Notamacropus eugenii: one gene and its partner. The protein of the gene in region 1 interacts with the protein of each later gene in a pairwise test. Links are inferred from orthologs where the notes say so. Each region holds a gene or a part of one and is shown on either strand. Other genes may lie near its edges.

Region 1 (7,860 bases):
AAAGACTAGGCCTCCCATACCAAGAAAATCCCGGCCCTGACCCCCATATAAGACTTATGATACTGCTCACGGGTGGTGTGCCTACCTGTGTATCTGTCTGGGATTGAGGAAGAGGGAGTGATTGTTTGTTTGTTTGTGTGTGTGTGTGTGTGTGTGTGTGTGTGTGTGTGTGTGTGTGTGTGTGTGTGTGTAAAAGGCTCATATGGAGGCATTTCTGGCCTACCTCCAGTGAGCTCCATGATGAGTTTGCTGGGTTTCCGCCTCTTGTTTGGGGCTGGAGTTCCTGAGAGTGGCATTACGGAAGGTTTTCAGGTCAACCTGCTGGTAAGTTTAGAGAATGGACAGATAAGAGTAAGCCCTTATAACCATCTCTATCCTCATTTAAAAAAGCTTCTTTCTTTTTCTTTTCTCATTATGTAGGTACTCTATACCTTGTTTCTTCCCCCACTTCCCACCCACCCGACCCAGAGTTCCAGGGGTAACCCCAGCTGGCATAGGAAAATATGAAAAAGTCATGACATTAGACAGACTCCATTGCCTTGGTGTGATTCCAAATTCTGAGTTAGGACTAGAGCTAATGATAGGTCACTCTAAAGGGTCAAGAAAGTGCCTGAGAGGGCTGGAATCTGAGGCCCATTCTGCCAAGGCAAAGAGGTTTCTGCCTGCCAAAAATATTTCCTATGGAGAGAAGGAATTGTCAATTCTCTCTGCTGGTTGTCCTTTGGCCTTAAGAGACAATATAACTCCCTTCTCCCAACACTCCAGCTCCCCTTACCCTCACACTAGGGGTCTCCCCTCAAGGGATCCCTAACTCTCAGTAGTTCAGTAATCTCAAAGGAGCAGAAAACTAAATGAGGAGCTTGGCTCTGTGTAGAAGTCACTGTAATTGGATCTGGGAGTAGAGTGGGAGATGAGTTGGAAGGAACATCTGCCTCCAGCTCTACTCTGGGCACAGGCCCCAGTCCCTCCCAGACAGAAATGGCAATTCAGCACAATCTTTCTGCTTCTGCTCAGTCCATTCCCCCCACCCCCAACTCCACCCCAGCTACAGCTTTTATATAATTGCAAGGGCTAGCCACCTAGTCAGGTTAAAGTTAAAGCCTTTTGATGAACTCATCCTCACCTCCTTGAACCCCCTCTCCTAGTTCCTCATTTCCACTTAGTTCCAGACTTCCTGAGCCCCTTTCCCTTTTTTCCAGTGCCCTTCCCCCATCTCTTTGGCCTAGCCAACCCCCTCCCCAAAGCTGTCCAGCCTGCATCCTTCATTCCCTGCTCCCTAAACTCCCTGGCTAGTCTTCCAATCTTCTTGATGATCCTTACTTTATACATTCTCCACCCATGCCCTCCTCCACCACAGGACAGCTGAGCCAAGAGGGTGAGGGGGCACTCACCAAGGGTCACAGCTGCAGACACAGACACAGGACCAGTTCGAATGGGAGCTTCAGACCTTCAGGCTGAACAGGTTGGGAGTTTGTGGTTGGAGCCGGTATGCTTAGAGTCTCCCCCAGGGGTCCAGTTGCTGTGGAGAGCTGAGCAGCTCTGACCTGAGAACCTGAGCTGGGCCGGTGTGGGAGTGGTGGAGGGGGGGGGGGGGTTATTAATAGAGATGATGAGTGAGAGCAGCTCAGATGGCATTGGGGAATACTGAGACCCTGGCCTAAGACCCCGCCCTCCAGGAGCAGAGAGGACACTCGGACTCAAGCAACTGAGCTGCCTGAGCTATATTCATGATGGATCTGAGCCCCATTTGTGCATCTCCCTCTCCCCTATTATCGCAGACAAAGACCTAAAAAGCATCCAGGACAAAGAAGCCCCTAGGGGTGAAGTGAAGGGGAAGGGAGAGAAGAGATATTTAAGTCTTATTATGGAGAAGAAGATAGGGAAGACATCAGTGGCTCCATCGGGGAGCTGAGGGGAAGTGGAGGAGAGGGGTGAGGTGTGCAGAGGGAACCTGGAAAGGTCAGTGAGAAAAAGAAAGGGGATTTCATTGTGACTGAAATCTGATGTTCTGAACACCCAGAAAGTACTTCTGGTTGGCAAGGGAGGAACAGGCCTCACCTTTAAGTAGATTCTTCTGTCCCAGGGGTCCCCTGAATGAACCTCAGACAGGCCACCAGGGCTTGTGGGGTCCAGCTCCTTCCACCCTCTTCTTTTACAACCTGTACCTTCTTTCTTTCTCCTGTCTAACCTCTGCTCCAGAGTTTCCAGTAGCTTTTTCAAGAGAGGGCAGGTGGATTCTTGGCCTCCAGCTCTTGTAAGCCAATGTTTGTTTTTGTGAGTCCTGAGTCTCGAGCTCAAAAGTTTTGGATGACAAAGTCCATGAAATACCTTCAGGTTCTCCAGCCCTGCCAGCTTTCTTTGGGTCTCCCCAGCTTTCAGGTTCTTTCACCGAACTTCCATTCTTCTTTTTTTTTTTTTTGCCTGGGACTCTTTATCTCACCCAGGGTAGAAGTGCCACAGCCTGTGGTGAGCTGACCCCACTGCAGACCAGGCTGGAAACTTTGATTTCAAGTTCTGACCTGGGTGGGTTCAGCCCTAGTGGCTCAGGGGAGCTCACCATCCTGGGTCCAGTTTAGCTTGGGCACTTTAGCCCCACTACCATTCAGAATTCCTGAGTTCAAGTGATTCACCAACCCTGGGAGCCACACTGCCCAGAAGCCCTGCCTGCCAAGACTTTTCAATCTTAAGACAGATGTCCATATTGTTATTGTTACTATCACCCTGATCCAGCTAATGATCTGATTTTAAGAACCCCTTTAAGAGAATTCTATTTGTATCCTCCTCAAACCCTGAACTTCACCTATACCTGCCCCAGCACTTATTACATGTGGATCTGGGATCTATCTCTCAACACTCCTTTTGTTCGTGTCCCTGACCCTTTCCTCACTGAGCTTTAGCTACTTTAGGGAATGGTTCCCTAAATCCCAGAACACCTCCCACCACCCTGAGGTCTGCATTTTTGGGGTGCTACCCAAATTGGCCTGGGTCCCTACTACTTGTTATTTACCTTCTGTCCTCATTCCTGCCCACTTACTCTGATTCAAAATAAGTTTTAAAAAAATCAGTAAATACTGGTTTCTGTGATTGATTAGAACCACCTGGTGAGATGGGAGCACCCATATGCTCTCCTGCCTAAACCTTAGGTTTCTATGGGAATTTTTACGATTCCTGTGGGGCTTTCATGGAGTCTTGGGCCGATTGGTGGCACAAGCATGCCCTCTACTGACAGGATAGGAAATGTGACACTCTCCCTTCCTAAAAACCGTCTGTCCCCCCTCCCCTACAAAAGTGGTGATTTTTTTCTTTATGGCCAGTCTTGGGCTTTCTTCACTATCACTGGCCCCATCCCAAGATTCTCAGTGACAAACAAGTATAGGGACAACAAACAGGACCTGTCGTCTCAAAGATCTCTCAGTTCTACCTAAAGAGCAGATTCTCTGCTGTGGAGCACTTGAGAGAAATGGAGAAAATGTATGTGTATGTAGATAAATATGTTTGCATGTATGTATATATGTATACGTGTGTTACTGGGAGATGATGGAGAAAAGCAAAAAAAGGTCCAAGCAGAATGAATAAGAAGAGGGACATGGGGGAGAATAGGGAAGAGGAGGTGGATGGATGGGGAAAGCAGAGAATGAACAGGAGCCAAGGGGAGCCGCAGAACAAGCAGAGAAGAGGATGTTGTGTAGAAACTGAGGACAAAGGCATGATTGAGAGGCGAGGTAACTAATAAGATGTAGGATACAGGTTTATTACTGTGCACAAATCAAAGTAGAGTGACTCACACCTGAGACATAAGGGAAACAACTTAAAAACCAAGCAGCAGAAGTGATTGGGGGAGGAGTGCATCCCATATTCTGCTCCCCTTGCTCTTAACCCCTCACCCCCACTCCTGGCTCAGCAATCAGGGTCTAAAGCCCAAAGCAGGGAAATGGGGACCTAAATTCTATGGGAATAGGAAGGGCTAGGAGACTGTGGTTCTAGATATTTTCCTGCCCCCACCTGGGTGCTCATAGTGCCAGAAGGAGGGATACAGACTGAAGGACAGACACAAAGGAAGCAGCACGGGCTCTGAGGGCCTTCTCCCCACTTATTGGAGGCAGCTAGGTGATACAATGGATAGAATGCTACACCTGGAGTCAGGATGACTCGAGTTCCAATTCAGCTCAGACACTTACTAGCTGTATGACCTGGGACAAGTCACTTAACTTCTATTCACCTCATTTTTCTCATCTTTAAAATGGGTATAATAATAGCACCTCCCTTCCAGGGTCCTTGTGAGGCTCAAATGAGATATTTGTAAAGCATTTAGCATAGTGCCTGACACACCTGACACATTGTAAGTGATATACAAATGTTAGCTATTATGATTATTGTACTTCACTGATATACACTCTACTGTCATCCCTCCCTGACTCTGCTCTAACAACTCCTGTCCCTAAAGTTCAGTCATACAACCCCTCTCCTGCACAGTCTGTCTTTACCCACTTTCATTCTGACAACACCCATTCTCACACCCCCACACTTTGCCTCACTCTGGCCTAGTCACTCCAGCTTCTCTTTTGCCCCCATTTTCTGTTCCAAGTGCCATGTTCTAAGACAGTAGCCCCTTAATGACTTAGATCCATGAGACTGAGAAGCCAATGATTCATCCCTCCTTAAAGGAAGTTTTCCATTCTTCACAACCCACTACTCAGGTTAACTTAGCATAGGCCTTTGGAGATTCCCACCCTCCTCCCATCCTAAGGAATCTGTCTTCATTCCAAACAAACTTAAGTCTGTCCTTTCATCATCCTCAAAGTTGCCCTGGTTCATCAGTTTCTCTACTCCCATACCCAACTCTTTACCCACCCTACCCCCCAGTAGCAAGAGTGGTTGACTGAGATCTAAGGAAGACTAGAAAAAGTTTTAGGGATTAGAAATCATCTCAACAGGAATTCCATTAAGATACCCCCATTTCCAAAAAATGTGTCTCTCAGTTTTGTGGGGTACTATACAGATCACCTGAGAGATAAGTGAATGATCTCTCAGCTTTTCTTTAACAGAAAGGCTTTTTTTCTATACATGACCTTAGCAGAGCTGTGGGTAGAGCCCAGGTTGGAACTCACCTCCCTATTCCTCCTTACCTTTGGTAAACACAAAGCACACGTGTCTAGGTGTGAGCCAGGTTTGGAGAAGAGGAGAAAGGAGAGGCCTAGAACACCTGCCAGGCAGCAGGTTCCTTCTCTCATCAGTTACCCAGGCCTAAGGCTACAAGAGCAGTGCCTTCTCTTTGCATTTGGGTTCAGTCAACTTACTACATGCAGGCCAACAGAGAAAAGCAAAGCATCAAAGGAGAGAAACAAAAATAGAGGGGCACAATAACAGAATGAATAGGGAGAAAAAGGCAGTGAGAGGAACAAAGACACACAAGTTGAGAAACAGACCAAAAAAGAGTCAAGAGATAGAGCAGAGAAAGCTGGACAGACAAAAAGTACCAGGAAAGGAAGGACTAAGCCTGCCCTGGCAGGGGAACTTTCTCCAGGTATCTAGAAAAGAGGGTTTGGGGTGGCAGAAATAACTCTGAGACCTTGCTAGGTACTCCATTTTCTGGCTCCCTTGGCTGTTCCCAATTCACTGATGGCCTGCTCCAGGTCTCCATACGTGTGCCTGCAATCCAGAGCTGGCAGCTGAGAACCGGGGTCTGGCCACCTGGAAGTTGCAGGAACCAGGGGAGGCCCCGAGAGCTCGAGGAGACTCTAGAGTTGGAGCTGGGCTAGGGGCATGAATTGGAGCTGGGGGTATTTCTACTCTCCAGATGGGCTCATCCAGTGAAGTGGCGGCTCTAGGAGTGAGCACAGTTGGGGCCAAGGGCTCAGAAGTGGGTTGGGGAGCTGGGGTAGAGAATCGACGTATCTCATGAACTCGAGCGGTCTTAGAAGACCCTGGGGGAATAGGGCTAGGGGTTGGAGGAATCTCATCAAAGCAGAACATGGCAGCTTTGAGTTGGTATGGCTGGTGCCTCATGAAGTCGATGGCTTTGATGCCTGGCTTTGTGGTTGTTCGGGGTCCCTGAGGCTGCGTTCGGCTGGGAAGGGTTCTGGCAGCCAGTGGGAAAAATGGAGAAAGCAGTGGATTGTAGGCAATGGGAGGTGGGGCGCGGATATTGGGGGAGTATTTCCATGAAGGAGGCAATGAAGGGGTAGGAGAGGGGCTTCGGGGTTGGGAGCTAAAGATTGTACTACGACCAGGACCAGGACCAGGTGTGGTTTCCACTACATACCTATCTACCCGGCTCTGCCTCTTTGCAAATAGCTCTCCACCTCGACCCTGTAGTCTAGGTGGTTCAGGGAGGACCCTTGTGGAGGGAACAGTCCCATTCACTAGACCATCAGGAAGACCCCGGGGTGCAGGCTTGGGTGCCACAGGGGGTGGGGTCTTAGGTGCCGCAGGAGGTGGGGTCTTAGGTGTCACAGGGGGTGGGGTCTTGAAACTTCGGCCACCTGTAGGCTGCATGAAGTTGCAGGCTTCAGCCCCTAGACTCAGGGCATCCTCTTCAGGACCAGACTCAGTCCCTCCTGGCCTAGGTTTCTCATCCAAGTTCTGTACCAATGACAGCAGCTCAGGGTTGGGTGAATTTTTTTTCTCTTCATTCCCCCCACGGAACATTTGTTTACGCCCTCCTCGGCGCCGTGCCTCCTGCAGGATGCCTGTGCGGGGAGCAGGCACAGATATTCTCTGCTCCCGGGTACTGGGAGCCTCAGGGGCAGCATTACTTGAATTGGATGTCATGGGGAGTCCAGTTGGCCTCAGGGGAGAAGACAGGAAGATGGAAGCAGTGGAGGTCATAGCAGCCGTGGGGTGAGAGGCCTGAGAGTCAGGGGGACCTCCAGGTGTAATGGACCTATTTGGGGCAGGAATATATAAGGAGGTGGTAGCTGTCACTGGGCCTGAGGAACATGAGGCATTGGTGGAGATGGAGAGTGGTATGTTACCAGGATCCTTTGGGGTGGAGAAGCTGGGGGTAAGGCTGGGACCTTGGGGTGGTGACAAGAATGGGGGAAGAACAGGACTGGGACTCCTGAGACTTTCATTTGCCTTCTTTGGGGCAAGGGGACGGAAAACAACGGAAGTGGTTACTGGGCGCTGCCCTTGGAATCCTGGAGTGAATGGTCTTGCTGAACGGTTGAAAATGCCTGTGGCTGGGAAAGGGGCTAAAGAAATGGGACTGGTAGCAGGGGGTGGCATTGGACTGGGGGGTAACAAGGCTACCTCTGGGGGGGTGCTCTGGGGCCGTGGGGGTGGAGGGCCCCTCCCATTCATCAGGGCTGGGGGGGTGTCATTAGGTTGTTCCAGGGAGCTAGAGGCTGCCCGCTGCCGTTGCTGCTCAAAAAGCCGTGCCCCTCTCCCTGAAGCTTCACTGAGGCCACCCCCTGGCCCTGGTCCTGGCCCTTCTGCTGTGCCTGAACCTGAGCGGGCCAGTTCCATGTCCAGATAGGGGCTATCCCAGTCTGGCTGGTTAGTGAGGCTTCGGGCATCTGAGAAGGTCTCCTCCTCCAGCTCAGACTCACTGGTCGGGGGGATGCCGTCTTCCTCCTCCTCCCCTCCTGCCCCTGATCCCTCTCCTGCTGCAGCCCCAAAGCTGACCAGGGTGTACTTCTTGGCCCGTTGCCTCCTCTTCTTAAACATAAGCACTCCCTTGGAGTGAGGATTGGGTGCAGCTGTCAGCAGGGATGCGATTGTCCGGCATTTGGTCTTGGCCTCTTTTATGTTCTTCTCTTGAACACTCTCTGTGCGCTGGAGTTCTGAAGGAAACGAAGGTATGAGAATGGTCAGTGGACCCTCCAAGAAGTCCTGTTCCCCACTGCAGACTGCTGAGCC
Region 2 (8,099 bases), on another chromosome or scaffold:
TCAGGCCCCTACCCTGGTGCTAGGGTCTCCCCCCACACTCAAATGGGCAGAAAAGAGACTAACAAGAGTTGGCAGAATAGCACCAGAGGGCAGAAAGTCAACTCTTCACATCTGTTCACAGCTGGGCAGACCCCTTGATTGTCAATGGTTCTCTCCCCTCCCTCCCTCCTAACCCCTGGAGCTGCATTGCTGACAGCTTATCTCATAGATGTGTGAGAGCCACTTGGCCCAGACAGTGAACAGCTCTCCTCCTTCCCCACAGGAAGCAAGAATTCTGTCTTGATCCTTCTCTGCTCCCCACTGCCCAAATCAACTTCTTTTCCCTCTAATACCAGTCTTCTGTGAGCCCTCTCTACCAGTGTTAGGCTCAGTCTGTGAGGTTGTTTGAGCTGAAAACTTTTTGTGGAGATGTGGAGAGAGATGGGATGAGGGAGGATGAGGCCCCCAGATAGGGGCTGGAGGTGGTGGATGAGGCTGGGAGTTTTGTGAATAATGTGGATCTCCAGACTGATGCGGTGAACAGGACCCTTCCCACTCAGAAGCTCTGCTTAGCCAGCGAACATACTCGTAACCCCATCATTTGCTTTCGACCTACTACTCGCTGAGGTTTCACACTGTTCTTTCTTTAATTAATCCCACTCCTTAGGTTACACCGGATCCGATATGTTTGAGACGGTCCCTTCCATCCTCCATAACCCTCTTTGTTCTAGACTTGGCTGGTCTCTGCATCCCCCAGCCCCCAGAAGCTGTCTGTTCCCTGTACTCCCTGCCTCAGTGGCATCCCTCTTCCTCCTCCACCCCCACCCTCACCCCTGCTCCAACATGGCCTGTCCTTCTGGAAAGCTCAGAGACATTTGCTGTGTCACAACCAGGCCAGGCTATTTCCAGTCTGGGGCAGGCGGTGGGGGTGGGGTAGGGGGACGTCGGTCATTGGGGAAGGAGCTCATGAAGTCGAGGGAGGGGACTGGACAGGACGAGGGGCCCCATGCTGATCTCAGCTGCTAATTCTGGCAGCCCCAGTGTTAGTAGTGGCTCAAGGGAGGATGTGGGGCCCAATAGACAGAAGGATTAAGTGGGACTGTCTCTCCTTACCTCCCACTAAGAAGGATTCACCCTTTCAGGCCCCCAGCTGCCCCTATCTCTGGTGTGGAGACCCCATCCTACACTATTAGCCTCCATATACATAATAAACACTTCAGGCTTCATGAACTCTGGATGGCACCCTTATGGTGGGACTCCTTATTTTTAGCTGATAGAAACATGTGTCCTTTCTAAATAGCTGATCCTGTGGTATGAGAGTCCTCCATAACTGTACTCTTGTTCAAATCACATCCACAGCTCCCTAGTTCTGCCACTGCCCTTTCCTTCCTCTCTCCCTCCCCTTTCCCTTCCCCCACACAGCCCTGTCCTGATAGAAACCAGGAGAAGGGAATTCTACTTTCTGAGTTCCTCCAAGTTCCGGGCAGATGTTACTGGTTCTCTTCCCCCCCCCCCCCCCCTTCCAGCTGTGCTCCTTTTGCCTCAACCCTCCTCACACACAACTTCAGGCTTTGGTTACACTCAACATTTATACTCCCCCTTCTCTGTATATGAGGACTCCCCCCTTGTTCCCTGCCCTTTGCTTGGGAGGTAGGAAAGAAGAATGGATTTGCTACGAAGACCCTTCTTAGGTAGGTAGAGGAAGGGTAAGGACAAGCAGGGGTTAATGTTTCCTATGCTCCCTCAGTGCCTTTTTAGGTTTCAAAGGCTGGGTCCTACCCCCTTCCCCCCTCCCTGGAAAGGCCCCCAGGGGCTGGGCCCAGCTGCCAGGCACATGCCTAGCATGGGGAGACAAGAGGAGGGAGAAGATGTCATTGCTTCCTTCAGTACCACCAGGCTACCCCAGCCCCCAACACCTCACCTCACTTAAAAGGAACTCTTGGGAGCTACCTCACCATCCCCGTCACTGCCAGCGTGGGGAATGGCTAATATCCTGCCTCCTGGTCTCCTCTCAACCCTACACTTAAAGTTACTGTTTTAGTGACCCCCAAAAAAACTGAAGAGAGGGACAGGTGCTTTTGAGGTGACAATTTCCAGAAGGGGAAACTGAAAAGATCCCATAACTGTTGGACCTGTTAGCAAGGGTCTGGCATGGGAAGACAGAGAGAAAAGGTGATGCAGGTGCAGGAGCCAAGTTGGGGTGTGTCGGGAATGGGAGGGGGAAAGGCAGAGGAAGGGGTGAGGCACATGTTGATGTATCCCTTCCTCGTCTAGTTAAGAGGGTGTGTGTGTGTGTGTGTGTGTGTGTGTGTGTGTGTGTGTGTGTGTGTGTGTGTGTGTGTGTGTGTGTCTGTGTGTCTGTGTGTCTGTGTGTGTCTGTGTCTGTGTGTGTGTCTGTGTGTCTGTGTCTGTGTGTCTGTGTCTGTGTGTCTGAAGGAAAAAGTGCTGCGCCTTTGGGTTGGTGTGGGTAGGGGAGAGCCAGTGATTTTCTCTGCTCTAGTAGCTGAACCCTCCTTCCTCCCCGCTCCCTACTAGGGCTCCCCGACTACTTCGCCCTACCCCAAACCCCACGGCCTCTCCCAATGGCCAGCGGGTTCAAGCCCACCACGGAAGGCTCCTCCCCCAAGCTCTTTCCACCCGCCAATGGAAAGCCCCAAGGTCCCCCCTCTCTCCCTTTCCGCGCGTGGACACCGCCCCGAAGTCTGGCTGGGGGAAAAGCTCTGCCCCTGGGCACAGGCTGCCCAGGACCCTTCTTTCCCCATCCCTTCCCGTCCCGTCCCGTCCCGACCAGCCCCTCCCCGGGCACTGACCGATAGACACGAGCTTGATGTGCTCGCGCTCCAAAAACTCGAGAGCCACGGACACGTTTTCGAGTTTCATCTGGCGAAAGTTGGGCCGCGGGTGGAACTTGCGGTACATGCGCTTCTGGCTGAGCACCTCGAGCAGGGCGATGAGGCGCAGGCCGTCGCTCAGGTCCCGCTGCAGGTCCCCCAGGCGCTTGCCCACGCACTTGAGGTGCTCGTTGCACCAGCGGGTGAAGGTGTTCTGCTGGATCTTCTTCCACGGCGCGTCCTCGGCCAGGTCCTTCTCCGCGGACGGCATCTCCTCCGCGTCCTCGCCCAGGCCTTCGGGGTAGTTACTGTTGTTCATCGCGATCGCCTCGGGGGTCGGGCGAAGGCCAGCGAGCCTGAGTCCGGAGGACGGGGCCGAAGGCGGCTCGGCGGGGCAGGGGCTGAGACCAGCGAGCCTGAGTCGGGAGGACGGGGTCCGGAGCCCGGGGCTGGGCTAGGCGCAGAGTCCGCGGCTGGCTCCGGGGAGCTGTCCTGGGAGCTGCGGACTCTTTCCCGCACTTCGCTAACTTCTGCCTCTGTCTGGAGCTCGGGGGTCCGTCTCCGTGCTCAGCCTCGGGCTTGGGCTCCGACTCTCCCTTCCTTCTCCTCCTCTTCCTCGTCTGCTGAGCCTGGTCTCTCTCTCCGTCTGGGGGGGCGGAGCGGTGCTCTGGAAATGCAGGGCCGGACCGAGGGCGGGGGGTTTAAGAAGACCCTGGGTCGCGGGGGGGCCCCCCTCCCCAGGCTCACGTCAGAGCGCCGGCCTCCCAGGAATGCCGGCCGGCGGGGGGTGAGGGCAGGGGCGGGGAGGGGGGCCGGAGAAGGCCCCGCCTACCCCCTCAGTAGCCTGGAGGATCTGGAGGGACAGGGAACCAGAGAGGGTCTTCCCCAGGTCCCTCCTCCTACTCTCATACCAATCTGATTCCCCCATTCCCAGTCGGAGGAACAAAGGTTTGTCAGTAGGACGCTGCTCCCCAAATCCCCTGCGCCAAGGTCAGAGATGGGGGAGAATAAGGAAGATGGAGAGTACCATAGGGCCTTCTCCTCCCCCCTTCTGCTCCCCTCCCTTTCTCCCCCCCCCATATCTAAGCTGAGTCACAGGTGGGGATGAAGTCTTAGATGGGGGGGAGGGGGAAGGAGAAACAGACATGACTAAGACTTAAGAGACAGATTGGGGAAACTAAGGTCTAATGGAGGGGGTTGGAATTGGGAACAGAAGTCTAATATTGCTGGAGGTCTCTGGACAAGTATAAGTCCAACTATGAATCATCTATGTCAGAGTCCTGTGGGGTAGGAGTATAATATTTGGGTAGGGGAGGAAGAAACAGGATAATAACATGGAAATAGAGGCAATGGCATTATCTGGCCGTGAAGAGAAGGTTTTCCTAAGAACTGCCTTCCTCTATTATTCTGGGATTGAAGTACAGAGGCTTCCTTTTGGGCTAGAATGAGTTTTCCCCTTGGTGATTGGGGCTAGGGTACTTACCCTGCACTCCACCACCACCCCCCTTCCCATTTAGTGTCATCAACCCACTTAGGATCAGCCTCAGAAATGGGTGAGGAAAAAGTTCTGATGCTGGGCCATGAGTCACCTCTCTCCGCTCCCCATCCCCCCAGACCCCAGACCTTGACTCAGATGGTATCTCCAGGGACAAGAGTCAGGACAGACCTTCCCCTCAGTGGCAGGGAACCCCCCCACCCCCATTCATTGTGCCCATCCTTGGCCAGAAAGGAGGACTGTCTGGCCAGCCAGTCAGGGAGATCCCTGTTGGCATAGGCCAAGGGGGAATGTGAGCTGAGGTTGTGCGAAGGCTGGTAGAGATAGGATGGAAGTAGAGGGAAGCCCTGGAGAGAGGAAAGCAATCAGACTGACCCTTCTCAGGGGAGATGGGGGGAGGATGGATGGGGGGAGACTAATACTAGGGAAATCCATGGCTCTTCCAGGAATGGATGTTGGCCCAAATGGTTGACAAATTTAGGGAAACTGAGGAATAGAATAGGTAATGGTCTTCCTTGAGCCCCAGAGAGAAACAGGCATGACTCAATCTAGGTTTGGATTCATCCTTGCTACCCCTCCTTTCTTAACAGTTCTAGAATAGTTAGAATAGGGGATCTGGAGGGAATTAGCTGCACCCCAACCTCTCCATGATAGGCAAATGGGAAGACCTCAAACCAGATAACTCCCTGACTCAGTCAGTGTTGCCATCTTCCAAAATGGTAGAGCTGAGGAGACTTTTGGAATGTTTTAGGGGCCATTGTAGTGAGTGACTCACCAAGTTCTGTGAGGAGGGGGGCTATGGGGCACTTAGCTGGCTCTTTCTCCAAGGTCACAGCTCTCATTAGGGACATTGATGGGAAAGTACTGTTATTTTTTTGGGGGGGGGTGTTATAGCCGTGTTATATGCTTCCCTCCCCCAAGAGACTGTTCTCAGAATTTAAGTAGGAAAAGGAGTACAAATCATCAGGGACAGAGACATTGGGGTAGCCCTGGCTAGTGGCTGTTGTAAAGTGGGGTGGGGGGAGGGCAGCTCTGGGGGCCCTGATAGTGACAAGTTGGAATATAAATAGCCCTCTGCTCCAGGGCTCATGTTCTGTCTGCTGGCTATGACGTGATACTAAGGAATTCCACTGTCCTGGTTGCAGCTCACCTCCCTCCCCTACTCCCCACTCACTCAGTCTCCCTCTTCACCAAGCTATTCACATCCCACCCACAAAGCCATTTCATGGCAATCACTACTGTCCATCACTTGAGCTTCAGGAACCAAGATGCCCCATAAAGAGCTCCCCAGATCCTGGGTGTGTATAGATTTGTCTCCCTTGGACAAAAATGAGTTAGGAGGGAAAGAAGCTGGAGGAGTATTCTTAAAACCTTAAAAAAAAAAAGATGGAGAACACGATATTTGATTCCATCACACCCATGGGGCCCCATGCCATAAAACTGAAATTTGAAGGTTGGGGAACTGGGAAAGAACAGTCCCTGGTTCTGGATTCCTAAACTTTAGCTGCTAGGATAGCTTGGTACACTGGCACACTGAGCACTGTCCTGAGTCCGAGGACCTGGGTTCAAATCCTGCCTCTGATACTTACTGCGTATGTGACCAAGTCACTTAACCAATATGGGTCTCAGTTTTTTCATCTATAAAATGAGAGGCTTCTCAGGGCCCTGACCGCTATAAGTGTATGATCTTTGAAGTTGATGTAGGGTTGTTTGAGGCTTACACTGAGGGATTTCATGTCATTAGGACTCAAAATATTTAACCATCCCTATGGTGACCCACTAGCACTAGTGGGACGGTAGTAGTGGTTCCTGGCTCCCTTGGGGAAAATACCAATCAATCATGGGTAACTAAGGGAGACCCTTTGAATCCGAGAACAGTGCCAGGGAAGGGGATAGGCCCACAAAGAGATGACCTTCCCTTTACTACCTCAACCCCAAACGGCTTAGTGTACAGGGGAGTGAATGGGGTAGAGGAGGGAACAGAGCCAGGAGATGTTTCCCGTCACCCCTCCATTGCCCTCCCCCTTCTCCCAGTGCAACCTGAGCCTGCTGCTCTCCAGGATAAATTGGGTCCTGACTCAGGGCCCCGCTAGTCAGCTTGACCCAGCAGGGATGGTGACTCAGCCCTCAATATAGTCCATGAGCCGCTGCCCTGAGACGGGTAGCAACATGGGGCTGGAACAGACCGTGCACAATGCTTATCTTGGTCTTGCCAAATTGTCCCCCCCCCCCATTCCTTCACTTCTCCCTCTCTCTCCCCACCATCCATCTCTTGGCAAAGGAATTAGTCTGTCCTTTTCCCCTGAGCCATGTGGGGGCCCCTCAGAGGTTTGCAGGGGGTTTCATCAGCCAAGTATTTGGGGCTACAAGCTGCTTATAACCCCCTGACTCACCACCTGCTGACCTGTCCCTGTAGACCCAAGCTGCCCAATCTAGCTCCTGACTCCACTTCTCCTACAGGGCAGCCTGCCAGTCACCTACATAAATCATACTTCTTTTCCATTTGAGCTGAACTGGGGTCCCCATGTACCAAGGACCCTGTTTTTTAAGAATTGAGGGATATCTCCCTCTATACCCCATAGTAATTTCAGACAAATCAGGCATGTGACTGGCAGAGATCATTCTGAGGCCGGTTTAGGGCTCTGGCCCTATTCCTCTTCACTCCAACGTCTTTGAGATCCAACTAGGTATATTGTGGCAAGTTGTGCTTTCCTCATACCTCAGCTCCAGCTCCTATTTTTCCCCTAAGGGGCTTGATAGAGCTCATCCGCTTGCAGAATGCCTCCTGGCTTTCCTGCTCCCCCCTGTCAATCTATGGTCCAAACTCCACTTACCTAAATCATAACCCAAAGGCTTTTTCCTTAGACGTGAATAATTTGTGGCTCCCTCAGTTCTACCTTCATTGTGCTCCTCACTCCCTCCACAGCAACTGAACCACCAACATTGCAGGATGCCCTTCTCTCTTCATTCCCCTTTCCCTAGAGGTGTGCCAGAGCAAACTGAGTAACTTATAAGCACATCAATCACAAAGAATGAAAAAGGCTCAGGACTTAGCACTGGGTTAGCCATGCTAAGGTTTCAGATAGCTATCCAATCCTCAAGTGAGGAGATATGGCAGAGCCTTTTACATGGTTTGGAAAGATGTTCCCAAAGAAAAGAACCCTGGATTCTGAAGAAAGGTGTTGTCTGAGGAAACATGCAATGAAATGCTATCTCCCTTCTAGTTCAAGAAAAGGGTGGTCCATTGAAGGGTGAGATGAAAGCCCATCAGCGCCCAAACAGGGTGATCACTAGTCAGACCCTTTACCTGTGGCCAGCCTTAACCTTGGATTCCAGCTCAGCATTTAGATCAGCTTTGCTACAGGTTCAAGTAGTACCCAGGCTACATGTAGCTTCCTGGGATTTTTATTATGCATAGTGTTCTCCAGCCAAATAGTGGCTAGAGGTAGGTCAGATTACAGGGAGGTGCCCCTCTGCCCTGGGACAGAAGAGAAGGGGATGGCATCGGGTAAGTAGTGGTCAGTTCCAGAGCAAGTAGAATCCAGCTGATTATGTTAGACCCAGTACAGCTCTGTCTCAAGGGGAAGGCAGATCGGGAGAAAGAGGAGTGCCCGCCCTAATGTGTGCAGCTATAACCATGGAGAGTGGAAGCTTCCACATTGAAAAGGATCTCAGGACGCTGAGGTGGCCCTCATCTAGTCTTGGTACTATCTACGCTGCATTAACACTAGAAAAACCTCCTATCTCCAGATGTTCTTGCTAACTCCCTTTATTTTCTCTCCCTCCGCAAGGGA

What was found. The genes of interacting proteins can lie anywhere in the genome.
Region 2: the proteins of MYOZ1 (region 1) and FLNC interact in a two-hybrid assay, tested with the Homo sapiens proteins (2 studies listed by BioGRID and IntAct). The link is inferred for Notamacropus eugenii from reciprocal best matches to the Homo sapiens genes MYOZ1 and FLNC.

The regions. Positions count from the first base shown.
Region 1 is NC_092872.1:236,700,778-236,708,637, reverse strand, and holds the start of MYOZ1 (myozenin-1), read right to left. Parts: upstream 3,628-7,860; 5' UTR 1,392-3,627; intron 887-1,391; exon of another isoform or gene 776-886; intron 322-775; exon of another isoform or gene 319-321; 5' UTR 297-318; coding exon 224-296; intron 1-223. Other genes in the region: SYNPO2L (synaptopodin 2-like protein), read right to left, coding at 5,614-7,784. UniProt on the Homo sapiens protein: Myozenins may serve as intracellular binding proteins involved in linking Z-disk proteins such as alpha-actinin, gamma-filamin, TCAP/telethonin, LDB3/ZASP and localizing calcineurin signaling to the sarcomere.
Region 2 is NC_092874.1:121,301,899-121,309,997, forward strand, and holds the start of FLNC (filamin-C), read right to left. Parts: upstream 3,501-8,099; 5' UTR 3,130-3,500; coding exon 2,790-3,129; intron 1-2,789.